3 linked regions of the Coturnix japonica genome follow. The protein of the gene in region 1 purifies or fractionates together with the protein of each later gene. This does not show direct contact. Links are inferred from orthologs where the notes say so. Each region holds a gene or a part of one and is shown on either strand. Other genes may lie near its edges. The genes, in order: THEMIS, PTPN11 and GRB2.

The links.
Region 2: the proteins of THEMIS (region 1) and PTPN11 purify together in Homo sapiens (co-immunoprecipitation; 3 studies listed by BioGRID and IntAct, counting the BioPlex papers as one, with this or other methods). This does not show direct contact. The link is inferred for Coturnix japonica from reciprocal best matches to the Homo sapiens genes THEMIS and PTPN11.
Region 3: the proteins of THEMIS (region 1) and GRB2 purify together in Homo sapiens (co-immunoprecipitation; 6 studies listed by BioGRID and IntAct, counting the BioPlex papers as one, with this or other methods). This does not show direct contact. The link is inferred for Coturnix japonica from reciprocal best matches to the Homo sapiens genes THEMIS and GRB2.

The regions. Positions count from the first base shown.
Region 1 is NC_029518.1:53,533,514-53,537,586, forward strand, and holds part of THEMIS (protein THEMIS), read left to right. Parts: intron 1-2,205; coding exon 2,206-2,664; intron 2,665-4,073.
Region 2 is NC_029530.1:5,554,519-5,558,591, forward strand, and holds part of PTPN11 (tyrosine-protein phosphatase non-receptor type 11), read left to right. Parts: intron 1-860; coding exon 861-992; intron 993-1,709; coding exon 1,710-1,864; intron 1,865-2,284; coding exon 2,285-2,352; intron 2,353-2,734; coding exon 2,735-2,886; intron 2,887-4,073. UniProt on the Homo sapiens protein: Acts downstream of various receptor and cytoplasmic protein tyrosine kinases to participate in the signal transduction from the cell surface to the nucleus. Positively regulates MAPK signal transduction pathway. Dephosphorylates GAB1, ARHGAP35 and EGFR.
Region 3 is NC_029533.1:9,419,604-9,424,474, forward strand, and holds the start of GRB2 (growth factor receptor-bound protein 2), read right to left. Parts: upstream 2,950-4,871; 5' UTR 2,795-2,949; intron 647-2,794; exon of another isoform or gene 518-646; intron 1-517. UniProt on the Homo sapiens protein: Non-enzymatic adapter protein that plays a pivotal role in precisely regulated signaling cascades from cell surface receptors to cellular responses, including signaling transduction and gene expression.

The sequences.
Region 1 (4,073 bases):
ACACTTAAAGCTTTTTAGATTTCACTGGAATCACTCGCAAGATGTAGAATTGGTGAGGAAGTGTCTTTAGTGGTGCCAAGCAATGCTCCATGAATCCTGCCCAAGGAGGTTTTGGATGCCCCATCCCTGGAGGTATTCGAGACCAGGTTGGATGTGGCTCTGGGCAGCCTGGTCTGGTGGTTGGCAATCCTGCACATAGCAGGAGGATTGAAACTAGATGATCACTGTGGTCCTTTTCAATCCAGGCCATTCTATGTTTCTGTGATTCTATTATCATATACATCCCATTCCTATTCCGTAACTGCAAAGATGGGAGAATTCCTTTACTCAAAGGACATGATACCCTTTGTATGGTCTGGAGGAGGAAAAAAAAAAAAAAAAGTAACAGGGCCATGGAATTTCTGCTTTTTGGCTTTGTAGGGATGTAGAGAAAATGTGCTGCATTGCCCTGGGAGGTTGGCTTCACTGTCAGCATAGCTGTAGCTAGAACATAAAAGCTGTAATGTGATTCTATGAGGCAGCATTCACACTGCTGCATCTTGGGAAGAGGATAGCTTAATCACATAGCTCAGCTAAACCCTACTGTTTAGTCCTTTAAACTGTCCACTTCATCTTCCTCTGTGAAAACTCTCACACAAATATAGAAATGTACACATTTTTCTTGTGATGTGAGCTCCTAATGAGACAGCTCCAAGGGCCATGACTAACATGAAATAATAATGTCCCCAGGGGCTAGGGAGGCTCAGATGCAGCTTCTGCCTTACAGTACAGTATTTCCGCACTTTAATTGCATTGCTATGGCCACAGTACCCAAACTGTGAAGCACTCCATCTGATGGTCTGGACTATCAGAGTTGCTAAGACCAAGTGTTCTTGCTCGTTCTCATCTTTACATGCTACTGGTGTTATTTCTTTAAAAATGCTTATTCTTGGAATCCCCTACATGTAGAAGATGTGTTTTACTGATGTTTAAGGAGAAAATTCACCCTGTGTTTCACCGATCACATTACTGACACTCTTTTCTCATATAATGTCTGCATTTGTTTCTTAAGGCCTGGTTTCCTGAGGAAACAAATAAGAATTTAACAGAATATGTATTCTTTTTTTTTTCTTTTTTCTTTTTTTTTCTGTAGCAAAAACTTTTTTCTTTTTCAATCATAGACATAAAAATTCTGCAGCTGTAGAGTAGAACAGTCTAATTCCATCTGTCTATGCTTTGTATCACGTGGTTGATATTATCTCTATACAGTTACATTTCTAGCAACTGAACTATCTGCTTGTTGTGGTTTAACCTGGCAGCAGCTCAGCCCCTCACAGCCTTTCACTCACTCCTCTGCAGTACAAGAGCAGAAAAAAAAAGTGTAAATCTCATGAGTTGAGACAAAGGGTGTTTAATATGACAGAAAAGGAAAGAAAATAATAACAATGATAATAACGATAAAAGAATATATAAAACAAGTGAAGCGCAATGTATTTGATCACCACCCACCTACTGATGCCAACCTAGTCCCTAAGAAGCAGATACCCCTCCCAACCAGCTCCCCTCAATTTTATGGTTTTTACACAAGATGCCATATGACATGGAATGTCTTGGCCAGACTAGGTCAGATGCTTTTTTCTCTCTTCACTCAGCTCCTTCTGTCCCCTCAGCACCCTCTTTGGCAGGACAGCATGAAAAGCTGAAAAACCAAAGCATTCTTTGCTCTGTATAGGACTGCTCAGCAACAACTAAAAATATTGGTGTGTTGTCATCATTATTCTCATTATAAATCAAAAACATGGCACCATACAGGCCATAATGAAGAAAACAATCTTTATTGCAGCTGAAATCATGACACAGATATGATCAGGGATTTTATCAATCCTTGTAAGTATGTAATGAGTGAGAGACAAGTGGATGGGGCCAGGTTTTTCTCAGCTCTGTCCAATATCTTATCAATACATGTGTGAATGAATATCTTTAGTTTGGGGGTGACAGAGCACTGGAACAAGCTGCCCACAGAAGCTGTGTAGTTTCCTCTGGAGGTATTCAAAACCAGCCTGGATGCTTTTCTGTGTAACCTATTCTAGGTAGCCTGCTTTAGCAGAGAGTTGGATTAGATGATTTCCAGAGGTCCCTTCCAAACCATGTTGTTTTTGATTCTGTGGTTTGTCTTGTCTTGCTCTGCATATTTTTCTTCTTATAATGCACCTTTTCTGTTCTTAGGTCTTTATAAGATTGTGGCAGACAAAACACCATATGTCAGCGTTGAAGAAATTACAAGAAAAGTCACTATTGGGCCAACGAGATTTGGCCATCCATGTTTTTACAGCCCGGAGGATGTAAAACTGGCAAACCTCACTATCAAACAGGGTGAGCAGATCACCTTCAATTCTGTGGAAGAGATCAATGGAACAATGGCTGTGAGCTGTGTTATGGTCAGAAACAACCGGTCTCATTCCTTTATTTTGCCACTATCACAAGAAGGAAAATTCTATGAGTGTGAAGATGACCAGATATACACCCTAAAAGAGATTGCAGAATGGAAAATCCCGAAGAGCAGAAGCCGGACTGTCAAACTCTCCAACACTTTACAAATGTGGAACTCCTCTAATCCACTTCCTGAGAATTTTGGTGGCTACATGGTTCTCATGCCTGTCTATGAAGTACAGGCAGTAATGAAATGTAAGTAGGAATTAAGATCAAAGATTTGTTTACTCTGTTTACACTTAAATTCGTACAAGTTGCTCAAAATAAGCAGGAAGAATTGGTTGGTGAATAATTCCTGAGCTGTCTTTACCAGTGATACCTATTCCAAATTGTAGAAAGATAAAAACAGTATCACCATCTGTATTTCCCCATCAGATATTAATACAGATAATTTCCTAGTATTACTTTCTGTTGTCATTTTACTTAATACTAAAATAAAATCATCTTTCAAAAGGAGATTTATAACATAGTGGAAAAGCAAAACTTAAGAGTTCAGTTCAACTCTGAGATCCTCTTTCTTTGTATCTCTTTGGCCTTGGAGTGGTCACAAGATCTCTGTAGGCATTCAAGGCCAGGCTGGATGGGGCCTTGAGTAGCCTAATCTAGTGGGTGACAACCCAGCCCATGGCAAGGGTCTAGAACTAGTTGGGCTTCACGATCCTTTTGAACCCTATCTGCTCTGTGGCATTCATTTTATAAGACACTCAGCTACAGTTTGTGAACTGCACAAAAAAAAAGAAAAAGAAAAAGAAAAAAAAAAATGTTTTTCCTTGTTAAGTCAATACTGTTCTGATTGTACTACCAAAAAGTTGAAACTAGTTGTTACTGTCCTTACTAGTGTTTATAGCTATGCATTACTTTGAACTGAAGTTAGATGTTATGGAAGGATATAAGTACACAATGAAAGACTCCTATTTTACGGTAGCTTGAATAGCTGAGCTGCAGCAATGACTCGTGTGCTTACACAATGCACTGATGAAAGTTCCTCCCTAATTTAAAAACAAAACAAAACAAAATTTAAAAAAAAAAACAAAAACAATAAACAGAATACCAGCAGCTTATGCTAAAATACTTGACTTTGCTTGAGGACAGCAAAGGCAGTAGGTGGAAAGTGGCTGCAGTTCTTGTTGATTTATCCACAGTGTTAAAGTTGGGTAGGAACTTAGTTTTTGGGAAGCTGAGCTGTCTGTTGCTTTTACTAGAAGCACATCAGAAAGCACAGAAATGAAATCCTGAGAGAAATATGTCATTCAGGAAGATATTAAGGAGGATATTTTTACTATGAAAATTCCTCTGGGTGATGGAATATGTTAGGAGATAAAATACACAGGAGAGAAATAAAAGAGAACAGAGACTTTTGCACAGTATACCATAGCTGCTAAACGCTTTTCATGAGATATTCCACTCTTCTTGCTCTGTGATTTAAAACTTTGGAAAGTATATTTTCACCAGGCAAAATGAAAAGATAAAAAGTTTTCTACAGCTCTAACTATATTCAGAGATCTAACCCTAGTCCTGCATCTGGATTCACTTCAGTATATTCTTGTGACCATTTAGATGTATAAGACATATCAGTAAGAAGCTGGTGTTTCTAAAAGCCTTTT
Region 2 (4,073 bases), on another chromosome or scaffold:
CCCATATATTCTTGTAAATCTGCACTAGGTGCTGTTAATAAGAAATATTTTTCTATGGTATTTGGTGCTTGGTCTGTTTGCTGTTGCTGGAAGCTGCATCTGTCTTCCCCACTATATTTCTCATCTAATTTTGTGTTAGCCTTCACGAGGCTAACAGGAGCTGTTGTTGCAGGAACCAAATTAAAGAAGTAATAGGTTAAGCCACCCTTCAGTGTGTAGAATACATCCCTGGCCAAAGATAACCTTGAGAGAGAAGCAGCATGCTGAAAGCTCTAAATGTCGAAGCCTACAGATGCATCAGGCCGTCTGTCAAAGGGAGCAGTTCTGTGTTGCTTTGGTGATTGAATTAGAGCTATGTTAGCCCGTTTTTTCCCTGATTCTAAGCAATGAAAAAGCGAATGTCCAAGCTGCATTCCTGTTAAAAATGATTTATATCTTTGACTTGCGTTTGTTTTGCAGCCTGTTAGGTATTGATTTTAGAGCAGCATATGGAGCTGCAGCATTCCCCTGAAAATTCTTCGTATTTTGAAACAAATAGTTGGGTGGAGGTATAGGTAACTGCATTTCAATCCCAGGGCTTTGCAACTATGAGGCAAAACTGGTACTAAAATCATGAAAGCTGCTGAAAGGAGAGATTGCATGTACCACTTTTCCTGAAATAATTCCTTATTTGAGATATAGAAAAGAAACTTTCCCTTCACACATACTTTAATGTGTCATTTGATGTTGTCCAGTTGGTGCTGGTGTTGTCTTAGATGTTCTCAGAAATGAAAACTTCAGGAAAGTGCTCAGCGGTTCACAAAGCAGCCTTCTTGTGGATTACTCTTTAAAGTCTTGTTTGTTTGCTTTGAATCTTGCAGAGTAAGTGTGTCAAGTACTGGCCTGATGAATATTCCTTAAAGGAGTATGGTGTTATGCGTGTGAGGAACGTTAAGGAGAGCGCAGCACATGACTACACGCTAAGAGAACTTAAGCTTTCTAAAGTTGGGCAAGTAAGTATGTTAGTAGCTCTGTCCTTTTAATCTAGGTTGCAAGTAAAAAAAAATGCAGATTCTTCTTTCTGCAGAATCAATAAAAGCACTAAAAGATGAATAAATTGAGCCTTGACTCTTTCTTTGAAGTTCCAGCTTTAGCTCCATGCATCTTTCCCTTTGTCCTTGGGCTAATTGAAGATTCTTATACCTGAGCACTTTTTTGTTTTGGCAGAAGATGCATGACTGCAGAGCTTTGAGGAAGTCTGGAAAGAAGCATGAAAGTGCTTTTAAGTAATCATACTTTAGTCTAGCTAAGCATTTATCTGCCCTTTCGTGGAGGTGGTTGTACTAGAAGGAACTGTTGTATGGGAGTCCAGAATCTAGAAAGAGCTCTTAAGTGAAGACATGTAAAATGAGGAAGGAAGCAGTGAATTTGTGTGGGAACAGCACTTTGTTGTTAAGAAACAGAGCTTTTCCTTACCTTCTAAAGGTGAGACAGAAATATTGGAAATCGCTAAATGAGACAAAGAGGGAACAGTGGGAGCAGGTAGTGTGATTGACTTGTCAGGCCAAGAAAAACTCTTTCCTTCTTTAACTGAGCTGTAGTGCCACAGATATTGAGTAGAAGGGTTGGGTACACTGCCTTCTGATCTGACTCAACTTTGCTGAAGTAATGCTCTTAGTTGAATTTTGATCAGAAGGATTTTTTTTCACATGTTGATGTCTTCCTTCTAGGGGAACACAGAGAGAACAGTCTGGCAATATCATTTCAGAACTTGGCCTGATCATGGAGTCCCAAGTGATCCTGGTGGTGTACTGGACTTTCTCGAGGAGGTGCACCATAAGCAAGAAAGCATTTCTGATGCAGGACCAGTTGTGGTCCACTGCAGGTACAGTGATGCAGAATGCTTCTGCTTCTCTGGAGGTCTGTTGGCTTCTTTTTTTTACATCTATTGATGTATTGCTTGGGATCATGGGAATACTAGTCTACCATCCCACCTCCTGTAAGATATCACTCCTCATTTTTAATGTCTGAATTTTTGTTTTCAATAAGGCAAGGAAACATTTGATCTTTTAGTTCTGTCTGATCCAAGGTTGTTAATAAACACTAAGATACAGAAAATGCTGTTGTGACTTCTGCCTACTTCTGTCTCTCTGAAAATATAGGCCTCTGTTTTCTTTTGTCTGTGTAGTTTGGTTTGGCTTTACCTGGAAACTGGAAATCTAATGCTGCTTAGTGTTGTACTCTTAACTTAGGTTAGTGTTCTAGTGCCTTCTCACAGCAAAATTATCATTGTTCTTTTCCACAGTGCTGGGATTGGACGAACAGGAACTTTCATTGTGATTGATATTCTTATTGACATAATCAGAGAAAAAGGTAGGTGTCCTCAGCCTTTTGTTTTCTGCTGGGACATTGACATAGGTCACAGAAGCATTACAGTAGAAACAATAGAAATGTTGACAGAGGATTCTAGTATTGTTTTAGAGTGAGTACTTGTTTAGCATAAAAGGGACTCTGTCATTCTTCTTAGTTGGAATCAAAGTGCTGAAATCCTGCTCTAGGTCAGGATGATGAAAACTTTCAGCTGAGGATTAGCCAGGAATCTGTGTTATTTTTCTTAATATTTGTATTTAATTATTTGTTTAAATCTTTCATGAGTATGTGGCTGTCAGTCTGTTCATTGTATATAGAGGAGACCAATCTCTCCAAAAGCAAAGTTTACTTTGCTTCTAACCTCATGGTTATTTTTACTTCACAGGTGTGGACTGTGATATTGATGTTCCCAAGACCATTCAGATGGTGAGATCACAGCGGTCAGGAATGGTTCAAACAGAAGCACAGTACAGATTTATTTACATGGCAGTGCAGCACTACATTGAAACGCTACAGCGCAGGATTGAAGAGGAACAGGTATATTCATCTGAAGTGTAAATTATGTAGGAATATGTTATCACTGGAGCAGGGAGCAGAGTTGCTCATTTGCTGCTTGTGACTTGGAGACTTGACTGCCAATATGGCAATGAAATTTGAGTGTTAGGTTATGTGGAATGAAGTATATTGATCTGAAGGATTGTAAAGCATGTGATGAAAAAGCTTGGGATGTGAGGACAGTTGCAAGACACCCCTCCACACTTCTTTCTGTTCAGGTACCATCTAATTCTACCATCTTGTACAGAAGATGCATGGTTTTGTGATAAAGAACTAACTTTCTGTCCACTATTGCTTTCATTCTCTATTTTTCTGGTCATCTGGGACTTATCTTTTTCAGAATTTCAGTATCTTCTGCTGCCTTGTTGCTCAGGAGATAAACTCACGCAGATCATCAGGCAGATGTGGAAAGCCGTATGTTCATTGTTAGTTCAGTGCCAGTTGTGAGATTTAAGCCCTATTTTAGAGGTAGGGTGTGCCAGCTCAGTCTTGGCACTCTCGTGTGGCTTCTGGCTTCTTTGGAGTGTGACAGAACTTGTTTTATATTTGCCAGCATCATGTAGATGCACCGTTCAACAGAGGATGGAGTCTTTATTCTTTTCCCCAGGATGCCTGTTGTGTGCTTTGATGCTGATTAGACTCAAAGAGAAGAACATGAAATCCCTCAGGTGTACTTTTTTTCTGGCTTGCTTGTTTCACTTCACTTTAGAGCTTCCTCACATCTGTGTGTGATTGCACAAGCCTTGTATCCTCAGCTTTTGAATATAGTCTCTTTCTGCTGCCACCATTTATAAAGTAGATCTGTAACTTCTTGATTGCTGTAATGTGGTTTTGAATTATACTTTGGTATTGAGAGGAACAGTGCATTTCTCTTACAGTGATCAGTTGTTTCATCCTTTACTGTGTTACTAGCTCAAGAGGCGTGAGAATAAAAGTTTCTTGAAGTTGCAATAGAGCATTGCTTTACATCATGAATTCTTGAACCTAAAGGCTGGTGGCAGATGCAGGAATAAAGCACAATAATACTTTTCAGATAAAAGCAACACTTTGAGTATAGGAAGTAACATCCTGGAGGAAAAAATAAAGATATGATATAATGTAGCACTTACAGCTGTGCTGAAGCAATGGGTATGGACACATAGCTGCATCCATTCACATAGACATGAGTT
Region 3 (4,871 bases), on another chromosome or scaffold:
GAGCACGGATGTTAACCTGACTACGGGTTACTCACAACCTTTCGTACCTTAGGATTGGACTTGAAACCCTAAAATCCTTTTGCGGAGCGTTTAAAACACGCCCCAAGAACCATCCCCCCTACACACACCCCCCCAAAGACGCAGCCCCAGACCCCAGTCGCAGTCCAGCTGGGGGCCTGAGCAGCGCCTGACCGAACCCTCCCCAGCAGGCAGCCCCTGAACACAACGGGAGCTCGCTCGGCCGCCCAGCCAGCGCCTCAGCGAGCAGCGCCTCGGGAAGCCCGAGCTCAGACTCGGGCCCGCAGCCTCGGCACCGCGGAGCACGGAGAGGAGGCGGAGCCGTGCGGAGCGCAGGCCGCGACGGAGAGGGCCGCCCTTCGCCGACGCTCGGCGTCCCGGGAAGCCGGGCCTGTGCCGGAGGAGCCTGCCGCTCACCGGAGCGGGTCGAGGGCGGGGGGATCGGCGGCCCGGCGCCGGCCCGCCACACGCGCCCCCCCCCCGCTTCCCCCGCACTCACCGCGCAGCGCTGTGGGCCGCCGCCTCTCCCGAGGCTTGCCGTCGCCCGCTCGCCCCTCCAGCGCCGCCCCGGTCACCGCCCGAGCTCCAGCCCCGTCCCGCGGCTCCCCCTCCGCCCGCTCCGCCGCCGCCACCGTCCCCTCGGCAACTCTCGCGAGAGCGGCCCTGTCACCAACTCGCTGCTCCGCCCGCCGCGCTGCGGCGCATGCGCGTCCACCTCCCGCGTGGCAGACGGGCAGCCCCCTGCGCGCACGCGCAGCTCGCACCGGCAGCCGGGACCGGGCTGCGCGGGGCCGGTAATGCGCTGTTGTATGTGCGCCTCTGCTGGACTGAGCGCGGGGCGCCCTGCACCGCGCAGTGACAAGCACATTCGGAACGTTACTGCTACGGAAACTGCACCCGAGCATGAACGCTGCGATCCTCGGAACTGGGAGGGTGCAGAGATCCACAGCTGGAGCTCTGCAACCGGCTGCTCCGAGCTCTGCAGGGGAAAAACAGGCCTTACAGTGTGCGCAGGGCAGGACCCAGAGCGCACGTGCCGTCACCCCAAGGTCTCATTGCACAGCATTCTTAGAATTCCTTTAGCTCCAAGAGCCTGCAATTAAAATACTCAATTCCTCAATAACACAAGTGCATGAAGAATATTTCCTCATGCTCTAGGGAGAAAAGCTATTTCTGAAACAGGCTTTCCAGAACCGCACTCGCAATCCTAGAAAAAGGCTTTTTTAAAAACAAAAAAACAAAACTAACGACAAAACAACCCACCATCGCGTGCCAGTTTCCCAGAACAAGCACTGACCAGCCACGAGCAAATTACTGACGGTTCTCTCCCCATAGAGGGTGGAGAAAAAGAGCCCTGGGAGCTGAGGATGTTCCACGTGTTTCAGGCATTGTTTGTGAGGATGCACAAGTCGTTTATCGGGGATGACAGACTGCTGCAACCACAGCTCGACTCCAACATGTCTCCAGTCTCGCGCTAGCACCGACCTCGAGTCTCTGGTTTCACCATCTGACTTCAAAGGGAAGATTTAGAATTTCTCAGTAAGTTCAACAACAATCGCAGCAGTGACAGCAGGTACTTGTCACAGGACTTGAACAACCAGACATGGCCAACAGCTGCCACATGAACCACGGCTACTGTAAGAGGCTGTAGCTGCCCGACTTTAAAAGGGCAGCCCTACAAGGGCAAGTCATCAACAGATTTTAGAAATAGCAGAGATCAAAGTGTTATGGAAAAATACTTCTGATAAAGAAGCTGCTGAGATGCACTTACAGATCAGGGAAGGTAGATTGTTCCCCCTCCTCGCAAGCACGTGAACACTTTAAAATGTACAACTTACTGCACAGATACCAGAGCAGCTTCACGGCGACAAAAGCCGAAATCCCAGCACAGCTGTAAGCCCGGGTGGAAGACATGTTTTACTAGAGGATCGATTTCAAATTATGCGCTAGTCCAGGAATAGCTTGAATTCTCTATGACCATTTGTGGTGATAAAACAATCTAAGAATAGTTTTGAGTATTTTAAGAACTTTTAAGAGAAGACTTGGTGCCTGACACTTGGATCTTTTCTTAAACGCCTCAGAGCAGCCTAGACAAATCAATGTGTGATTTTCTGCTACTAATAGATTTTAAGACTACATCTTAAAAATCTATTCAGAACACAGAGAAAAAGTAGCTTTTATTAGTAGCTTACTTGAGACCCACGGGGAATCTGCCTCAGGAACCAAGTAATCCAGCCTCCAAACCTCTGTTCAAGATGCATCTTTAACCTCTTCTTTAAAGCATTTTACTAATTCGGTACATTTTGCTGTGGTGGTGGAACAACCTGAAGAGGAACTAACAAGAGGCTCACGCAGCACTAAGCCCACGATCTCACGTATCCCCTTCCCTGTATCGTGTCTAAACTACAGCAGAAAATCCCCCAGACCTGCCACTATTTCCTTTTAAGCGACTATGAAGGGTTACAGCAACTCATTACCACCAAAGCACAAACAATTTCAGCACCTGCAATTCATCACCAGACGAACAGCGCTTCTGTGAGGAGGATCCTCACACGGAGCAGCGCGTCTCAACCCGGGACGTACGAGCGCCGACCTACGGGGATGACGACACACGCGAACCGTATCGGCTCTGCCGGTAGCTCGGGGCTCAGCACAGCGGCACCACGCGCCGTCCCCGCGTCACCCCCGATTTCGTTCCCATATTGCGCAGCGGTTCAGATTTCTCCTCATGTTACCGGCCTCGCTGCCCCGCGGCTTCCTGCGCAGCGACACTCACCTCAGTGCTCCCGCGCTGCCTCCATCCGGCCGGTGGCCGTGACACACAGCGGCTCCCGCAGGTGCCGGCCGCCGTCCGTCCGTCTGCGGCGGGGTCAGACGTGGCCGCTCCGTGAGGAGCCGCCGCTGCTCAGGGCGACCCGCCGCCAAAGCGCCCGCTCGGCTTCGCGCGCTACTCCGACCTCACCAATCAGCGAGCGGCGTACGGGCAGCCGCCCGGGATCCCACCAACCAGATACCGGCTTCTTGAGGAAGCCGCCGCGAGTCCCCAGCGCCGTGGCGGCCCGGTTCGCCAGTGACGCTGATGGCGGCCCCGGCGGCGCTGGGAGAGGCCGGGCGGCTTCCCCGCCGAGACGGCCCGGTGCGGCTGGTGAGTACAGGCCGAGCGGCGGCGGCTGCGCTCCGTCCCGCCGCGGGGCGAGTTCGGGAGGGCCCGCGCTCCCTCAGTTGGGATATTCCCCCTTCGGCCCCGGCCCTGTATAGAGGCCCTTGCAAAGCCCTCCCTTCCCCTCGGGCCGGAGGCTCCCGCGCAGCGCCGTTACCCTCAGCGGAGCGATACCCGGCGGCTTGTGAAGGAGATAGGAGAGAAAGAAGCGAACAAATGGCAGAACGCTCCGACGCGTAGCTCCGGGGCACACGGACTCGGTGTTCCTGTCATTGAAGCGGCAGCTGGGCCCGCTCGCACGGGGCGAAACGCCTCAGCGCCCACCCGGCACGTCAGGGCTCGTGTGGCGGTCAGGCCGGTACCTGCAAACTGCCCGAGTCTGACGAGCACCTGAAGCTCCCAGCAGGGCAGGAACCCGGCGGATCCATCCTCCTGAAGCAGTTCCCAGTAGCACAGCTTCCCACACACACACAGTTTCAAAAAAGACAAAGCCCCTATGGCAAAATTGATTAAAATCATGTTGTTTGTTACAGCAACAGTAGGAACAAAATTCACAGTTGGACAATGAACAGTACAGCATGCACAAGATGTGATAATGTAGTGCATCTGTATTTCAGATTCCTTAAAAACAGAAGTGTAAACAAACTATTATTAGCTCCTGTGCTATGTTAAAGTGCACATGGAGCACAATTTAAATAACCTAGAAGGCTTAAGAGTCACATTAAGAAATCTCTATAATACAGACATACATGCTGCTGATTTATACAGGCACCATAAGTCCTTTTGGTTAGTACTTCATCTACTCAAGCTCATCAACACTATTCTTAACTTGAACCTTTTAAATAAGTGTATCACCAACACTTTATCTGATGAGGAGATAATAAATATTAGTAGCTTTAGCTTAGGTCCCAGGAACAAATAATGGCAACGCAAGTGGAACTGAGAAAACTAACCTGTTCCCTTTAATCTTAATTTTATAATCTTTAGATTTGTATTTCTCAGAGGTTATCCCTGTTTCAGATACGTTCCTATCAGGCACAGCAAGCACAGCTAAGATCAAACTGCTCAAACCAGAGCTACCCTTCAAGTAAGTGCTCACGTACTCCCACGGCTGGTGAAGTTTGCCAGGAGCCATGGGGGACTGGCCAGCAGACAAGTCCTTTGGTAGGGCTGACTAAAAACAAGGCCTGCCTGGGGTGTGGGGCAGCACTGTCCTGCTGGAACTCATGAAAATAGTAAAATATAAAGCCTGTTGAACTGAACAGTACATTTTCCACTTAAAAGTCATACTCTGTTTGAATGAATATACACATCTGATTTTCCTAATAGCATTCAGATGCTGTGCCTGTTTCTGGGGAGCTCTCAGGAAACATTCTTAGCACTATGTTTGTTAATGCTCTACTTTCAAAGAAGCAGCATTGCTTCTGACAGGGTCTTAGCAATACCAGGTAAGTATTCACAGGTAGGCCAATAGTCATATACAGAAAGAAGAATGGAACTCACCCAGCCAGCGAACAAGCACCCTACGCATGCAGCAATCCTTCCCAAAAGGCAGCCCCCCTCCAGTGCCTGGCCTTTACATGAGCCCAGGGTGGCTCCACCCTGGGCCCTGCCCTTCTGCTCACATGGGGAGCACAGGTGCACATTGATTGTGCTCCCTGGGCCAGCTACATCCCTTCACCAGGTGCTCAAT